2 linked regions of the Caenorhabditis elegans genome follow. The protein of the gene in region 1 purifies or fractionates together with the protein of each later gene. This does not show direct contact. Each region holds a gene or a part of one and is shown in the gene's direction. Other genes may lie near its edges.

Region 1 (3,758 bases):
TATGAAGATAAACATAGAATATTTCATGTTGTTTGAGAATAAAATAAAATAAAATCCTATCGAATCATATTGTGGTCAGCATATATATATAGCAAAGAATTTAATCAAGGGAAGATAAACACAAATGGGAAAATAAACAAAACAAATTGAATTCTGTAAGAAAGATTTCCAAATTGATAAGTGAGTTATTGAGAAGTAAGCTTCCGACGACCTCCGTCTAAAATAGCAGAATGATTATATTTCTCAAGTTAAAAAATATTAATTTCAGAAACGAAACCTTCGGTCCAGGTGTCACCCATTGTGGATCTCACGAGAATCAGGGTCAATAGAGGATCATAATCTTAGACCTTTCTTGTAACTTTTTTGTTTATTGTGCAAAAACTTCATCTATTTATAAATACTGTTTGATAAGGACTACGTAATTTTCCAATTTTGTCTTCAATAAATCACCTGCTTCTGCAAAACGTTATGTTTCATTTAGCGGCACATTTCAATTGAAAAGTCATGCATATCTCGTATTTCTCAAAAAAAATGGAAAATTCATATCTGTCAATAATCTGAGAATATGCAATACATACAGATTTATACAGATTTAGGCATATGAAGCAAGTTCTCGAAAAATTGTTCTTTTTTTTGCTTTTAAAAATTACAAATTGAGAAATTCACGCTGATAAACTAAATCTTGCACTTTCTTATACTTTTAGAATTTCTAGAAAGTTTTCTGACCAACAAGTCTTGCTCACTTTAAATTATATAGCACTCTCAGGCAAGCGTCCCCCATATAATATTTTATTGGGCGCCAGTGAGTTTCACTTTCCGGTTTTTTCTAGTCCTAGTGGGCAACCGGAAATGTTGACATCGTTTTGAAAATAAAAAGCCAAGAAAATTTTCATGTTCAAAGTGTTATCAAGAAAAAGTAAAAAAAGTTAATCAACTGTTTAAAATTTCAGCTGATCATAAAAGTTATATCATGAGTTCTCTTATCAATTCTGCTCTACTTCATTTCCGCCCATTGAGCACGGCATTTAAATACCGTAACGCTTGCAATACCACCAGAAAGCCTCTCTAAATTTCTATTTGCATAAATCCAAATATTTCCAGATCATAATGAGTGACGATGACCCGCGAAGATTCTGTCTGAGATGTATGGGAGAGTGTACTGATAATGACTGTCAATATCATCCTGAAGTCATCAGAATCAATCAACAACGAGAACAAGGTTTGTTTTTTCCCTTTTATCAAAGAGCGCCTGCTCAAGTTTTTTTGTAAAATGATTTTCGTTTAGGGACAAGTTTAAATACAGATTTTGTCACTGGGGAGACCGTCGAATTTTAAATCGCACTTGCTTTTTTTTCAATTTCAAAATTTACAGAACCTCCATATAGATTTCACGATCCGGAACTTCAATACGTAGTGCACGCATGCGATCCCCGTGTGATTGCTTATGCTGCTAGAAACCTGGAAGAATCGGATGAGGATGACTGAATGAAACCCTACACAAAGCGATCATTTTTTGTTGAAAAACAATTTTATGTAATAAATTTTTTAAATACATTTTTTGACTTTTGAGGATGATAGAAATAAAAACGAATTCATAATTATGACAGGCGGTTTTCTTGTTCTACATACTTGTAGTCGCAGCGGCCGAAAATTTATTTTCATTGAATAATAACCTACTTATGTTGTATATATTGGCCGTTTGTTAAGAGGTACATTTCCAAATGCAAACTTTTAAGTTCTCAAGAATAGAAAGTTATTATAATTTTAAGAAAGGTTAAAACAACTCAATTGTCTTTTTCGTTTGCTCAAAAAGTATAATTTTGCAGCGCCGTGTTTTCCGCGAAAATCTGAATTACATATAAGTATTTGTTCAAACTTTTCAATTACTTTACTCATTGGAACTATTTTTAGTGCTTTTCAACTTCAAAAAACACAAAGTTACGTAGAAATTCCAATCTTTCAGCGTAGTAACCTTAAAAATAAACACCTGCCCTGCCTGTTATTCGAACTTTTGTTACCCCGACCTCATTTCTCCAATGATCTCGTGTGAAAGTCACTACCTAGCCAGTCCTGGTTTTCTAAAATTAGCGTTTCATATAATAACAGCCGTGGCAACTCCAATACATGCATTTGGATTTTATTGTATTGTCTGTAAGACGCCAGTTCATATGAAGTCCGTCAAATGGTTGTTATTCAACTTACATTGTTGGTGCATTTTTCTTGATATTACTATCAGTTTTCTGGGTATTCCTTATATTTTGCTACCTGCTATGGCAGGCTATGGACTAGGTCCTGTTGAGTCTCCGGGCTTATTTTTCTATCTAGGAGTCACTTTTATCACCGGTAAGAGGAGCTAATTGTGGCTGAAAAGCCGATAGGAAAATATGTTTCTATTTAATAGTTTTTTTAATGGTCTTTGGTGAAGTTTCTAAAATTTTGAAATAATTTGAACAATATTGATGACTGGTTTTAAATGCTGGGGTTCTCTTATGATCTTTCACATAAGCATATTCCCAATATTTTTTGAACATTAAACCAAACGCCATTTTTTCAGCCGCCTGATTTTAACACGCACGTTAACAAAAATAATTATTCTTCAATCTACGACTATTTGAACACAAAAACAATTTTTTATCAATAAAATTCAAATTTACTAGAAGTTTTCAGTTTCTAGATAATTGTATTAAAACCAAGCTTTCAGGCGTCACCACGGCAGTATTTGTAACTTTTGAGAACAGATTCCATATATTATTTGGTCAAAACTCCAAGTGGAGGCATTTCCGAAAGTATGCAATCGTTTTCAGCTATATTATTGTGCCTCTGTACTACTTGCCAATTCAATTTCTAATTCCTGAGCAAGTAACGGGACGGGAACTTTCTTGGGCGGTAAGTTTCATTTTTCAAAATATGGTTCCAATTATTTGTCATTGAAGATGCTCAGTTGCATCCCGGAGCTTCCTGATGATGGCCGGGAACTGTTCGTTTTTGCAACTGAACTTATTGGTCCAGCAATCACAATGATTGTTTCTGAAAGTGTTCCAAGTATTCAGTGTGGAACATTTTTGACTCTTAATATTTATAATTTGATATTTGCGAGACCCAGTGGCATTTCAAAAAAGACAGTTCAAATGCAACATAGGCTGGTGGTCGCCTTGATTATACAGGTTCGCATGAGTTTTTATGATGACTTCCAAAATAAGAATAAATTCAGACATCCTTTACACTATTTCTTTTCGTGGTCCCTGTCAATGTTCTCATTGCATTTGTATACTTTGACTATCAGAATCAGTTTCATAGCAATTTGATATTTTTTGCTCTTGCAATTCACGGTATTGCTTCCACACTTATTATGGTGTTCGCCCATAAACCATATCGAGACTTTGCCTTTTCTCCGTTCGAACGATTTTTCATAGATCACACAACTGTAGATGTGCTCCCCGTGTTTTCGACATCAAGGACTCACTAACAAATCACGAGTCTTCAAAAGTGGTTAAAACTTATTCGGGAAATCATTAGTGGAAAATTTTAAAGCGAAGATTCCAGTTTGAATAAATGTTTTTCAAAATCTCATTTTTCGAGTGGAATAAAAATATGTTAGGAGTTCCCAGAATCGTATGATTTTTTTGCCCTTTTAAGTTCTAAATGCCACCGATTCAATACAACAATTGCATGTGTAAACTTGGCAAAATGTAGAAATTTTGCAGAATTTTCTTTTAAAAATTATATAATATTTTCTTTAAATGCACGTTTAATAAATA
Region 2 (3,758 bases), on another chromosome or scaffold:
GACACCACTGGGAGAAAAAAAAATAGAAAATGATGTTGCGAAATGAAAAGACACGACAGGTACAATTCATTCTTTTCATATATATATCTCTATTTGTCCATCGCTTGCCTCTCGTTTTTTTGTAAAATGTGGACATCATCAAATTAGTGCGGTTGAAGTGTGTTGCGACAATTTGTTTTTTTGCAAGTCCTCTGCTAACCTTTCTTTTGACGGTTTGGGTGTGGTTCGGCTTCATCTGGGGATCCGGAAATGACACCCTAGGTGTTGATCGGACCAGTAGTTGGTCTGGAAAAGATTGAGCAGATTTTTTTTTGATTTTGCTTCACATTTTTTCATAAATACTTGTGCATTTTTTGGACTAAAAATAATTTTTAGCGAGGTGGGATATCGATTCCAACTTTTCGTTCAGCTTCAATTTATTATTTTTATTTTCTCTTATTTTTCGCTTCAAATTATATAGCTTTTCGAACGAATTACCACGAAATTCATTAATTTCACTACTTTTATTCAAACTTTTTAAGTTTTTGTAACGAAATAAATTCATTATTCAGTTATTTTATATTTTTAATAGAAATTTTAATCTGAATTATCTTTTAAACAATAATTTTCGAAGAAAAACTGATTTTACACCAATGTTGCTTCGATTTTAATATTTAAATGCGAGAGAGTACACAAACGAGAGAGGTGAGAGGCATGTCACTGTCAAAGGCGCGTCGATTTACACAACTGGGTCTCGCAGCGCCGCACAACCGTAGTGCAGCGGCGGCACTATTTCTTCGATTTTATATGCAATCCCAAAAAGTTTTTTATTTTTCTGCTTTGTTCTTGACGGTTTTTCTTCGATTTTGCTGATTTTTTTGACAAATTTAATCGATTAGTGCAATAATTCAGTTAGATGACCGTATAATTTAGTATTCCAGCACATAATTTCTTGTAAAAAATAAATTCTCCTATTTTCTAACGAAAAATTGTAATTCCGTTTTTCCAACTACGGCAAAAATGTTTCATTCTTATTGTTTATCAACTCGTTTCATTACATGATTTTCCTTCTCATATGAATTGTCTTTACAGGTAAAATGCCCCCAAAGAAGGACCCTAAGGGAGGCAAGGCTCCCCCATCCAAAAAGAAGGAGGGATCTGGAGGTGGAAAGGCCAAGAAGAAGAAGTGGTCGAAGGGAAAGGTCAGGGATAAGCTTAACAACATGGTGCTTTTCGACCAGGCCACCTACGACAAGCTCTACAAGGAGGTTAGTAATTTTAAATTTTTGCTGTCTGGAAAAATTTCAAGATTCTGAAATTAGGAATCACAAAGTAGCAAACAACGATTTGAAAGAACAAATTGCAATGTTAATACTTTCAGGTCATCACCTACAAGCTCATCACACCATCCGTCGTCTCTGAACGTCTGAAGGTTCGTGCTTCATTGGCCAAGGCTGGACTCAAGGAGCTCCAAGCCAAGGGACTCGTCAAGTGCGTCGTTCATCATCACGGACAGGTCGTGTACACCCGTGCCACCAAGGAGGCTGACGTTATCGTCGAATAACTTGTTGATTTATTTGATGTTTCATAAATGTCAAAACGTTTATATCTTGTGTTTTTGTCGAATTCATTACAGGACTTACATGATCACTAAAGTAGGAAACTCATTCAAATCTTATAAGCATCCTTGCCTGTTGAATATGGTTAGGGAGACATTTTCAGAATTTTTCAGCTCGAGTTCGGATGAAGCTCGGTTGCAGTGACAACGTCGTTTCGATGACTGTTTTCACGTATAAGATTGAACTCGCTCTTCGCGGTTTTTGCGATGTCTGATGCTTTCTGAAATCGTGTTGGTAAGATTTTTCGGTCGGGCTCCATTTTCGCGATTCCCGGACCATCCAAAAACGCAAAACATTGGAGAAAGATGCGGTCTCTGCGTCTCCATTGTTGTACGGGCATCGGTGACCGCCTTTTTCTCTAGTGTCTCTTTGTCAACTGTCTCTCGTATGACATCGTGCATTCAGAACTCAATCACAAGGCTTCCAAGTTCTCACATTCTCTCCCGAGATGTTCGTTTTTCGTGTCTTAAACACTGTTCCATATACAAATCGGACTGGAGCAAAGGATCTTGTCGCCAGCATACACTCATTCCTCACATCGAATTTGCTCGTTGGATTGGCCGTTCTAATTTCATGGAAACAGTTTGGTGGAACTCCAATTGAATGTATGGTTCCATTGGACTTCACAAGTGCTTGGGTTCAATATTCGAATAATTACTGTTGGGCTCAACCAACATATTTCATCCCATTCACAGAAGAACTCGTGGAGCAAGTTGTCGATCCAGCTGATGTTGTAGCAGATGGAATAACAATTGGAAACGGTGGAAATCGACCGAGATTTGTCAAAAAAGGCGGCGAAAAAATATCCTATTATCAATGGATGTCATTTTTTCTACTTTTCGAAGCCGCATGTTTCCGATTGCCTTGTTTCATTTGGAAATATTTTGCCAGTCAAAGTGGAATGCAAGTCGGTGAGATTCTTCGAGTAGCTTCAGATGAGAATAATGCTGTTCCACTTGTCAAAAAAGCGAATATCGATGCATTGTGCATTCATTTACGAGGAGTTTTGCGATTCCAAAAAAGACTGAAATTGGTAGGCAATTCTAAATGACCGATAATCATCTAAATACACTTTTTTGCAGAAAAAGATAGTTCCACACAAGATTCTGCGTTTTCTGAACATCAAGTATTCCGCATACTACGTCACTTTCATCTATTTTGTTGCAAAAGTTGCATTTTTGCTCAATGTCATCTTACAATCGAAGTTGTTGAACAAGTAAGCATGACCGCGCCTTTAAATCAATAAAATGCCTCGTGACGCGAGAAAATGGAATTGATATGGAATTCTGGACTTTGAAAGGAAAAAGTTACGGAAATATCGTAAACTTTTAGCTCAATTCCGCCAATTCATCCGATAATAAAATCAGCTTCGAAATCCTGCTTTTTCCGCCAGAAATACCACACCCGGTCTCGACACGACGAATAAATGTTGAATGCGAACAGGTGTGCGCCTTTAAAGAGTACTGTAATTTTAAACTTCGTTGCTGGGGAATTTGAATCGATTTTTCATAAATTTTTTAATAAAAATATACTTATTTATTGAAAGACAAAATAGAATTGACTTATAGAATTTAACAAATCCTGAGAAAAACAATGGAAAATCATGAAAATTCGAAAATACAGTACTCTTTAAAGATGCTCACACGTTTGTATTTGAATTAAATTGTCGTTTCAAGACCGGGTACAGTATTTTTAGTGCAAAATTCACAAAAGTTCGCATCTCGCTATTAGCCATTCATTAAAATATATCGATTTCCAGATACATGCTCCCACATGATCGTCAACAAAACTTTGGCTTCGATATGTGGAAAACCATTTTCTATGGAAGTACGAATGGAAATGAGACATGGCGAGAGAACGGGGTGTTTCCACGTGTAACACTCTGTGATTTTGAAACTCGGGACATGGGAAATGTGCAGATGCATACTGTACAGTGTGTGCTGCTCTTGAATCTGTTCACCGAGAAGATTTTCGTATTTTTATGGGCCTGGTAAATAAGGCTGGAAGTTTGTGTAATTAATTGAAATCGTCTTACAGGTACATCTTGCTCACTGCCTTCACCGTTGGAAATCTGTTCTCTTGGTTGTTTGCAGTTTTCAATGAGACTTACAATGAGCATTTCATATTGAATCATCTGGAAATGTGTGAAACTCCATTTGA

What was found. The genes of interacting proteins can lie anywhere in the genome.
Region 2: the proteins of srh-239 (region 1) and inx-7 fractionate together in Caenorhabditis elegans (co-fractionation; one large-scale study listed by BioGRID). This does not show direct contact.

Annotation. Positions count from the first base shown.
Region 1 is NC_003283.11:15,443,817-15,447,574, forward strand, and holds srh-239 (Serpentine Receptor, class H), read left to right. Parts: upstream 1-1,920; 5' UTR 1,921-2,036; coding exon 2,037-2,343; intron 2,344-2,701; coding exon 2,702-2,886; intron 2,887-2,933; coding exon 2,934-3,164; intron 3,165-3,211; coding exon 3,212-3,466; 3' UTR 3,467-3,565; downstream 3,566-3,758. Other genes in the region: T26H5.9 (HNH endonuclease), read left to right, coding at 1,108-1,219, 1,373-1,485.
Region 2 is NC_003282.8:5,944,919-5,948,676, reverse strand, and holds the start of inx-7 (Innexin-7), read left to right. Parts: upstream 1-2,038; 5' UTR 2,039-2,046; coding exon 2,047-2,631; intron 2,632-2,680; coding exon 2,681-2,814; intron 2,815-3,357; coding exon 3,358-3,588; intron 3,589-3,635; coding exon 3,636-3,758. Other genes in the region: rps-25 (Small ribosomal subunit protein eS25), read left to right, coding at 1,077-1,247, 1,361-1,543. UniProt on the Caenorhabditis elegans protein: Structural component of the gap junctions.